Linked DNA regions of Arabidopsis thaliana. The protein of the gene in region 1 interacts with the protein of each later gene in a pairwise test. Each region holds a gene or a part of one and is shown in the gene's direction. Other genes may lie near its edges.

Region 1 (7,196 bases):
TTCGGTTTAACGCCACAGCTACCTCTCTAGTTTGTTCCTCAGTGAAACCTCCCATACTTCCAAAACAGAGAAACAAAACAGATTTAGGCGGTTGATCATCAAGCCACCGCAAAACCTCCAATCTCTTTTCATCGTCGTCATCGCCGTTATCAAGATGCAACACTGGTCCAACAGGATAAGCTTGAGGAAGATCAACATTGTTAAACATCTTCAAAGCGTGAGGCTCAAGCTCAGCAACTGTATTTACCAAAATACCTTTCATCTTCCGGAAAGACCTACCTTGAGCTGCAAAAAAAGGTAACCAATCTTTTGAACTAAGGATATGAGGAAGGCACTTCACTGGATAAGGACGAGTCAAACAAGGAAACTCCAATTCGTTGACTGACTCATCCAAATCGCTGACGTCATACTTTTTGTCGTCGTACATTTCTTGAACGTGAAGTGTGATTCCCAAAAACGTAGCGTTTGATGTGTAGATCATATAACAAGGAACTCCAAATTCGTTAGCTATATCGATCATTGAAGAACAGAACATGTCCACCACGAATCCGGCGAGTTTTCTTGTTGGATTGATGATTCTGGAGACGGTGTCTCTCACTTGTGGTTTTTGTTTCTCGATGTAGACTTGAGACGGCTCAAGATTTGCGGTTGGTGGTTGTTTTTCGACGGAGATGGGTTCGTAGCGGAGGCGATCTTGAGACTCTGCAACGAGGGATGCGATATAGGCGGTTGCATCACCGGCGTCGTTTCTAGAAGGGATGATGATTACGGTGATTGAAAAAATGTTCTTCGCTTCCGATGAGTTGCTTTGCTAGCTTCACGGTTGGCCGGAGATGGCCGATTCCCGGCGAAGGTATGAACACGAGCTCAATCTTCTTCATTTCTGTTTTTACGTTTTTGGACTTTTCGTTGATTGGGTTTGTAAAGTGAATGTGTTAATAAAGTAAAATAAATGTAAGTTGTTTGTTGGGTCACGAAAGCTGGCCCATTTAGTATAATTGGGCCGAGAACCTAAAATAGATATGGTAGCCGCCGACCGAAGTAAACCCTAATTGTCTGCTGTGTCTGTGTATTTATAAGGTTTCGTCTAATGCAAATCATAGGAACTCTCTTTCTTTTCATGTCTGAATGATATGTTAGGTGATTTTAGGGTTAGGTCTGTGACTATTTTCGTTTGTGTATATATGTTGAAATTGGTGATATTTAAGGTTTTTGTGAAAGAGATTTGTGATGTCTTAGTTTTATGGGATGTGGAAGGGGTTGAATATGGTGATGATACAAGAGTATTGTGGACTAGAGTTTCAGATCTGGGATTCTTCTCCCAGAAGTTGAAGATTAACCCTTGGCTGTCTGAGTATTAATTCCCCTTTCACCCAAAATCTTATCTTTTGATTGGTTTGAAGACAAATTTCTCTGTTATTGTTTTTTTTTGTTGGTTGATGTTTTTCCACTTATAAGCTTATGATGATAGAAAACAATTATCTTAGCGGATTTCAGTGAGGTTTTTCAATCAATGATCTGAATTTGTTACACACACTGAGGCTTTTTTTTTTTTTTAATGTTTGGCTTTTGTTTAGTTGGATTATTGTTAATAGGTTTGATTGATGTTTGTATGTACTTGTTTTGGGTTATAAAGCTGATGATGATAAAAACAATTATCTTAGCGGATTTCAGTGAGGTTTTTGAATCAATGAACTGAATTTGTTACACACACTGAAGCTTATTTGTTCTTTCAATGTTTTTTGTTTTGTTTTGTTGGATTACTGTTATGGGTTTGATGATGATGATGCAATGATGAGATGAAAGCACGAAGAGTGTGAGAAGAGCAGTGGGTTTACCGTGAGCTCTCCTTTAAAACGACTTCTCCTTCCACTGAGCATTTTTTATCAAAAATTTTGCCCTATTGAAGAAAGAGTTTTAGTGTTTTTTGTTTTTGTATTGGCGTCCATTACCAATTCTGAAGGATAAAAACAGTTCCTTCAGGTATAATGGCTTGTGACGCTATATTGGTTGTGGTATATCCTGATCTTTTTGCTTTTTTCCATGCCTTTTGATCCTGGAAATGCCTCGCACATTATATCAATTGGTTTTGTTTTTCCTCTTTTTTAATACCGGAAGAGATTAGCTAGTTATTCTTTGATTTTCAGTTGGTGGAAGGGCTTTATGAAAACAATTGGTGTGTTTAAATGTTATGTTTTCTTCACTACTTTTGCAAAATAAGTGGTTAACAAAACAATTGAAAACTATGAGCTGATTTTTGGACGAATAATGGATTTAGCGTTCCTATAGAATTGATTAACAAAACAATTGACTTATCAGGAAACAATTGTTTGGTCGAATGAGCTGCTTTTTGGACATCTAATGAAATCTTTTGGCAAACAAACAATGACAACCAGACTGGTCATGCCATGAGCGACCTTTTCAGCTAATGCCAGCAGTTACTGTCTGTTGAATTGTTTACAAGTACATTTAGCCTTTTTTGGCATGGAATGCATTGGGAGATGTTTCAAAAATAGTACATTTAGCCTTTTTACTGAGGCTGGTAAAAAATCGTAAACGAATATCAATCGTTGTCACAAAGTTTTCTCTCTTAAAACATGATCGCTCACTAGAATTTCAATCATTTAAGTGCTTCTAACATCTCATATTTTAAGTTGTGAAAACACACTTAGTAAAATTAGTGAGAAATAGATACAATAACTATCCATAACCACAGGTTAATGAAACCGGACTAGTATGCTGCAAACTCCTAGATCCATTAAACCAACACTCGGAATAAATTGCTTCGAACTAGTCTTATTACTCGGATGTTTTGAATAACAAGAAAAACGTGTTCAAAATTAATGACATTTACACGTTTTTTTATTAACAATTCTCGAAATTCTTGCGAGCCACAGAAAGTACCTAAAGAATCAAACAAAAACTCCGAATTGTATGGTCAACCACATTATGACATCAACAAAATCTAAGGAACAATAAAACCACACGTGACAAAAGATACCCCGCGTGGCAAACCCGCTTAACAAGGTGGACCCCACACAGGATAAAAACAGAGCAAAACCTTTTCTTCTCTGTTCTTTCTCATCTCCTTCTCACTGGACTCTCACACACCCTTGTAAAGCTTCTAATCTCTGGAACCCTGAAACATAAACAATTTTACACGATTATTGTTATACTCTTGTTTAGAAAAAACTCTGTAATTAACTGGTTATGAGTTTCTAGACATTGTGATTTTAGTACTGATTCGGTCTCGAGAATCCACATTTTCTTAGTTTGTGAGTGTTTCTCTAACATTCAAACACAACCATGTATTAGTCACAGTCACAGTCACACATTAAAAAGATACATGAACCTATAATGAATCGTAATTTTGTTTGATCTCTGAATGTTCTGTTTTTGTCTCACGATCCTTCTATGCTATAGGATTTTAGGTGTGTGTAGCGATTGGGATTGAGAAATCGTTATTTCTTTGGAGTTTTGTCTTCGAAGAAGTATGGAGGCTCGATGTGACTTTTGTGGAACCGAAAAAGCATTAATCTACTGCAAATCTGATTCGGCTAAACTTTGTTTAAACTGTGACGTTAATGTACACTCAGCGAATCCTCTGTCTCAAAGACACACGCGATCTCTACTCTGCGAGAAATGTTCCTTACAACCCACGGCAGTACACTGTATGAACGAAAATGTTTCTCTTTGCCAAGGATGTCAGTGGACCGCTAGTAACTGCACTGGTTTAGGACACAGACTTCAGAGTCTGAACCCTTACTCTGATTGTCCTTCTCCATCAGATTTCGGCAAGATCTGGTCTTCAACTTTAGAACCTTCTGTCACAAGTTTGGTCTCTCCATTTTCTGATACCCTGCTCCAGGAATTAGACGATTGGAATGGTTCATCAACTTCCGTGGTTACACAAACTCAGAACCTTAAAGACTATTCTTCTTTCTTTCCTATGGAATCTAATCTTCCAAAAGTGATAGAAGAGGTGACGTGTTGTTTAAGTAATATATCAAAATGTTTCATTTATGATAAAGAAGAATGTTTTTCATTTATATTCCGTTCTATATGCAGGAATGTTCTGGTTTGGATCTATGCGAAGGGATAAACTTAGATGATGCGCCGTTGAATTTCAACGCAAGCAATGATATAATCGGATGTTCATCACTTGACAATACCAAATGTTACGAGTACGAGGATTCTTTTAAGGAAGAGAATAACATTGGCCTTCCTTCATTACTGCTTCCTACTTTATCCGGGAACGTTGTACCGAACATGTCACTTTCGATGTCTAACCTCACAGGAGAAAGCAATGCGACTGATTACCAAGATTGCGGAATTTCACCAGGGTTTCTCATAGGAGATTCGCCATGGGAATCGAATGTTGAAGTTAGTTTTAATCCAAAATTAAGGGATGAGGCTAAAAAGAGATACAAACAAAAGAAATCAAAGCGCATGTAAGTTTTTGAGACACATAATCAGAGTCATTATCATGCTTTTAAAACATAATCTCATTGATATTTGTGGTACCAATTTCTTCTAGGTTTGGGAAGCAAATAAGATATGCATCACGCAAAGCCAGAGCTGATACGAGAAAACGGGTCAAAGGGAGATTTGTAAAATCTGGAGAAACTTTTGAGTATGATCCGTCACTGGTGATGTGAACTAGTGAATCTTCACTGCGGAACTAAAGAATAATCTGACTCCATCCACGGGATTAACAGTTTCTTGTCGGAGAAGTAACAAAAAAAAAACATAAAATTCTCTTCTTGAGAAAGTATACAAGATCAAACTACAAAGACTTAAAATCATCGCAAAGGTGATTCCAAAATGGAGATTAAAAAAAAAAAAAACTGAAAGTTGCTCTTTTTACTAGAGAATTTCCACTGTTTTTTGATGCAACCACAAAACCTACCGGTCATACAGGCATTAATTAGGCATACAGCTACGAGACGATCAGACAAAATCAGAAACCAAAAAACAAAACAAGAGTCGTTGACTCTTTCCTACTTATAGCTCCTTAATCTCAATTACATGTTAATCATAGAAAAATATATCTTCTTTGTGTTTTGGACCACTCTCCACCTTCCATTTCACTTGATTGTAATTTGTAACGTTGTATTGTTTTCCTAGTTAAGAAAAATAAAGCCAAAGAATAAAGGCAGATTATGTTTGCCATAGGAAGATTTGTTCTTGATTTCTTATAGCTTACTATTGGGACCGCATTATTTTACTATTAAATCAATATGTTTTCTAGGTGTTCATATATTACTTTTAAGCTTTAGAATGAAAATATACATTCTTAGAACATTTCCAGAGAAAAAACCCTACCAATATTTAATCTTAATTACGCGAAAAACAAAACATAAAATCAGAGAAACACAAAGGGAATTTTGTGATCACTACTATGTTCTTCAATCCTTGCTATCATCCTTATCTCCGGTAAAACAACATTAAAATTATCACCGACAAGACATCGACGAGTTAGCTTCCGACAGGTCGTGCAGATCACGCGCCGGAGATGTCTCCGAGCTAGAAAATTAGCAGAATGGACCCATCGATCGCATTTCCTACAAAGGAAAGCTGCGTCTGCCTCACAATACACGGTGGCGTTCTCGCCGCAAAGCTCACAGCTTACCGGAGCTTTGTGACTCTCCGTGCATAGTCTTTGGCATCCTCCATTGTCGCTTCTTCTCTCTTCTTCTTTCTCAAACCCTCTACACATCTTTACTCTTTCTTTGTCTCTCTTGTGTTCAAGATTTAGGTTTATATAGGAATGATTGTTATTTAAAGCAAATGGATATTATGAAATTGTCATTAAACTGGTTGTACACGTGGAAAAATATTGACCTATTGGTTTGATGTGAGTGTCCCTAGAGGACCAAATTGTCAATAATTTAGTTATTTTCCCTCCACCAGACGATCTCTCGTCCTCATGTTTGATACACAAGTTTCGAGTAGTTGACTAGTATGACTCGCTCATTGTCACATATCACAATCACGTTCTAGAATGAATCATGAATCATAGCATTTTTGTGGTCTATAAAAAGGGAGTATATAATAATAGTATATGAATTTATTAGTGATTATTCATTAAACTACTGTGCAAGTTTTTGGTTTGTTTTAAAAAGATAATATATGAACGAGAAATTGTGTAACATACTATCATTTGTTTTCAATCATGTTTTCACTTAGATTATAATATTTCTTTTTTTTTTAAAACTATTTCTGTTCGTTTTTATAAATTTATGAGCAGTCATAACATCTACCAAAGAAATGTACCTTTTTCTTAATCTGAATTGATACAAGAGTCAAGAAAATCTACGAGTGTGGAATGAAGCGTTGAAGAAGATGAAGAAAGAGAGATACATTCAATTTAATGTAATTTAGGTGACTCATGATGGCCATGGGTGCAGTGCAGCCAATTACTCTAAATTTTACTATTAACTAGTTACTCGTTTAGTCTAGAAAAATTCATCGCCGAAGAAGTGGTTAGAGAATCAATGTCCCACTGATTACAATTATTAAAGATTATGTGACTATGTGAGCATTCAGAAATATATTGAATATCGGGTCGGGACAGTCTCTACGTTATTGGGTGTCTTCGTGTCATTGTGTGTGTGGTGGTTAACTATTTTAACTTTATATTTTATTACGAGTTTGCTCGCAAAAGGAAAAAAAAAGGAACTTCACTTGCATGGTTCATGATTAAAGTAATTTCTTTTAACGATTAAAATAATTAATTTCTTATTTTCTAGGAGACGTACATCCTCCGAAACTGTCAAAGTTGAATATCCCCTAATGGTTGCAGCGGTTAATGCCGTCAAATCTCTTTGTAGACTGAGCTGAATTTTTATTTACTATTTATAAATTGTGTATTGTAAGCAGAGATTTTTTTCTTAAAAAGTTTGTTGTGAACTAGCTACGAACCGCTTTAACATACAAATAGAGTTGGTCTGCGACGCGACAGTTTATTGTCTGCAGTAAAAATAGAACATACTAAACCGTTGATGAATATGTCCATCTCGACTATTATCACCATTTAAACTCGAAATGGTAACGTATACATAACAAATTTATGATATACTGATAAAATTATCGTTGATAATTAGTTGGTAAACACTTAGTTAATTCATCGTTAATTTAATGACGTTTAAATGATATATTTAATGATGATTCGACCAAATTTATCATCAGAATGA
Region 2 (3,316 bases), on another chromosome or scaffold:
TAGCTTCTTAAAGTACATCAAAGGTTTGAAGCATCTCAAGACTATATGGATTGATGGAGCTCATGTTTCTGATTCCTCTCTTGTAAGTTTAAGCTCTAGCTGTAGATCTTTAATGGAGATTGGACTGAGCAGATGTGTTGATGTGACGGATATTGGGATGATAAGTCTTGCACGCAACTGCTTAAACCTGAAAACATTAAATCTGGCGTGTTGCGGATTCGTGACGGATGTAGCCATCTCTGCTGTAGCTCAGTCTTGCCGGAATCTAGGGACTTTAAAGTTAGAGTCTTGTCATTTGATAACTGAGAAAGGTCTTCAATCGCTTGGATGTTACTCCATGCTTGTTCAAGAACTTGATCTTACTGACTGTTATGGTGTAAATGACAGAGGTAATAGAAAGATATATGTGAACTCAAACCTCCGTTTGTGTTTTAGATATTGTCATCTTTGGTATCTTACGGTTTTTTGTTCCGTTGGGACCGCAGGGCTAGAATATATCTCGAAGTGTTCGAATCTTCAAAGATTGAAACTTGGACTCTGCACAAATATCTCAGACAAAGGGATTTTCCATATTGGTTCCAAATGTTCGAAGCTTCTAGAACTTGATCTATACCGGTACACTTTCTTGGTGGATTCTTGATGAAAAATGTGCAAGACATGTTTCGTTTTCTTACTGATTTCTGGTTTTTGAGTGCAGCTGTGCCGGTTTTGGAGATGATGGTTTAGCAGCTTTATCTCGAGGTTGCAAGAGCTTGAACCGACTCATTCTATCATACTGCTGTGAACTAACTGACACCGGGGTTGAACAAATCCGGCAGCTAGAACTTCTAAGTCACCTCGAACTTCGAGGGCTAAAGAATATAACCGGTGTTGGTTTAGCAGCCATTGCGTCCGGCTGCAAGAAATTGGGTTACTTGGACGTTAAACTCTGCGAGAATATTGATGATTCGGGTTTTTGGGCGCTCGCTTACTTCTCGAAAAACCTACGACAGGTACAAAAAATAACATTTATAGATGGAGATCTGGAAGCATCTATTGGAAACATGTTTGATTCTTGTGTTGTGTGTTTTGTTTGGCAGATAAACTTGTGCAATTGCTCGGTGTCTGATACGGCTCTATGCATGTTGATGAGCAATCTGAGTCGGGTTCAAGACGTTGACTTAGTTCATCTGAGCCGTGTGACTGTAGAAGGGTTTGAGTTTGCTCTAAGAGCCTGTTGCAATAGGCTCAAGAAGCTTAAACTTCTCGCACCTCTCAGATTCTTGCTCTCATCGGAATTGCTCGAGACGCTTCATGCTCGTGGTTGCCGCATTAGATGGGACTGAAAACATAAAGAACAACGCGGTTTCTTGTGTTGGTTAGTTTATACTGTTGTAGGTTTTTGATGTTTATAATCTCAATGTTAAAAATCAGTGAAACTTTAGTAGCGGTTTGTTTTGGATCCATATAAATGAATCGGTTTAAGTGAATTGCTGCGGTAAAATATTTTGCTATAACCGGTAAAAAAGATCGGACAACGCTTAAGTAATGATTTCTAGTTAGAAAGTTGTTGATGTGTAATAGATCTATGTGATGAACTGATGATCATATGTTTTTGAAGTCTAACAGAAAGCTAAACCAATCAGATGCAACATGTAACTCCTTTGTGTTCGAGCAATGATATGAATTATGCTTTCACATTTAACATTTGAAAACATATTTTTTAACTAAATAATTCAAAATAAGTTTTGTACAGCAAAAAATTATCTTGCAATTTTATAGAGAAAATATAGTTTTGTATTTACTTTATTTCTTTTTTCTAACACTATTAATTGGTATAATATATACACTTTAAGTAAAAATAAATCACTTTCTTTTTTCTTCTTATAATAATAACCAAATAATGTTAGTCAAACAAATAATGTTAATATCATTAAATATTCTTAACAATATACTAAATGCGTTAAGATTCATTGTTGTAAAAGTTTACCTGCTTACTATCCCACCATATCTAATCTATGCTTAAGCTTTTCCTTTATATATGCAAATCTTCAAATAAAAAAATAACAAGCCTAGAACACTAGAAACTTCAAAAAAGAAAAAAATCTTATGGAGAACAACAACGGCAACAACCAGCTGCCACCGAAAGGTAACGAGCAACTGAAGAGTTTCTGGTCAAAAGAGATGGAAGGTAACTTAGATTTCAAAAATCACGACCTTCCTATAACTCGTATCAAGAAGATTATGAAGTATGATCCGGATGTGACTATGATAGCTAGTGAGGCTCCAATCCTCCTCTCGAAAGCATGTGAGATGTTTATCATGGATCTCACGATGCGTTCGTGGCTCCATGCTCAGGAAAGCAAACGAGTCACGCTACAGAAATCTAATGTCGATGCCGCAGTGGCTCAAACTGTTATCTTTGATTTCTTGCTTGATGATGACATTGAGGTAAAGAGAGAGTCTGTTGCCGCCGCTGCTGATCCTGTGGCCATGCCACCTATTGACGATGGAGAGCTGCCTCCAGGAATGGTAATTGGAACTCCTGTTTGTTGTAGTCTTGGAATCCACCAACCACAACCACAAATGCAGGCATGGCCTGGAGCTTGGACCTCGGTGTCTGGTGAGGAGGAAGAAGCGCGTGGGAAAAAAGGAGGTGACGACGGAAACTAATAAGTGGAATACGTTTTAGGGTATTTTCAAGGGAATATGTAGTAAATAGTCATGGATCTAATTTTTTTAAAGAAATAGCCATGAGATACAATGTTCTGTCGGAAACACATGTATTATTACATGTATAACCTTAGACATTGAGGGGACAATACACTATTTGGGAGCGTGATGATTCTCGGTTTGAAATTTGAAATATTCAGAAGCTAACATTATATTCATTCTCTCGCACCAAAAGTAATATATGAGAAAATAAAAATCTTGTTTTTTCTTCACACCGCAAAATATCCTCCCAAAATCTAGCGCCGTCGTTGGCGATTGCGTTCACCGTCGGTTACTCTCATCTTCTTCAATCAAGCCCAGAACTTGATTGTCTCCTTGAAACCTTCTTCTCGTTCTTGTCGCCGTTAGCAATCCAAGTATTAATTTCTGATCCTCCCCTTGCCGACGAATCTGGTAAGGTAAGCCATTGATTTTCGTTTATTTATTGCCGATCTTCTTCTATTTCTTCCTCTTTATACTTCAATTGCATAGAAATTAACGATTGTGGCCAGATCTAAAGTTTGGTTCTTTTTCCCCTCTATCTCTATCTTCTTCTATGTCTTCCCATGTATACTTACATAAGTATCCTGCATAGGGTTCTCACCGTTTGTGTCCAGATCTAAGT

What was found. The genes of interacting proteins can lie anywhere in the genome.
Region 2: the proteins of BBX9 (region 1) and NF-YC8 interact in binary tests that used the Arabidopsis thaliana proteins (3 or more experiments, as listed by UniProt).

What each region holds. Positions count from the first base shown.
Region 1 is NC_003075.7:8,707,404-8,714,599, reverse strand, and holds BBX9 (B-box type zinc finger protein with CCT domain-containing protein), read left to right. Parts: upstream 1-3,073; 5' UTR 3,074-3,115; exon of another isoform or gene 3,116-3,120; intron 3,121-3,423; 5' UTR 3,424-3,493; coding exon 3,494-3,982; intron 3,983-4,068; coding exon 4,069-4,451; intron 4,452-4,537; coding exon 4,538-4,658; 3' UTR 4,659-4,833; downstream 4,834-7,196. Other genes in the region: AT4G15260 (UDP-Glycosyltransferase superfamily protein), read right to left, coding at 1-535; BBX30 (B-box type zinc finger family protein), read right to left, coding at 5,366-5,719.
Region 2 is NC_003076.8:9,940,072-9,943,387, reverse strand, and holds NF-YC8 (nuclear factor Y, subunit C8), read left to right. Parts: upstream 1-1,940; 5' UTR 1,941-2,088; coding exon 2,089-2,652; 3' UTR 2,653-2,719; downstream 2,720-3,316. Other genes in the region: AT5G27920 (F-box family protein), read left to right, coding at 1-389, 486-615, 698-992, 1,080-1,325. UniProt on the Arabidopsis thaliana protein: Stimulates the transcription of various genes by recognizing and binding to a CCAAT motif in promoters.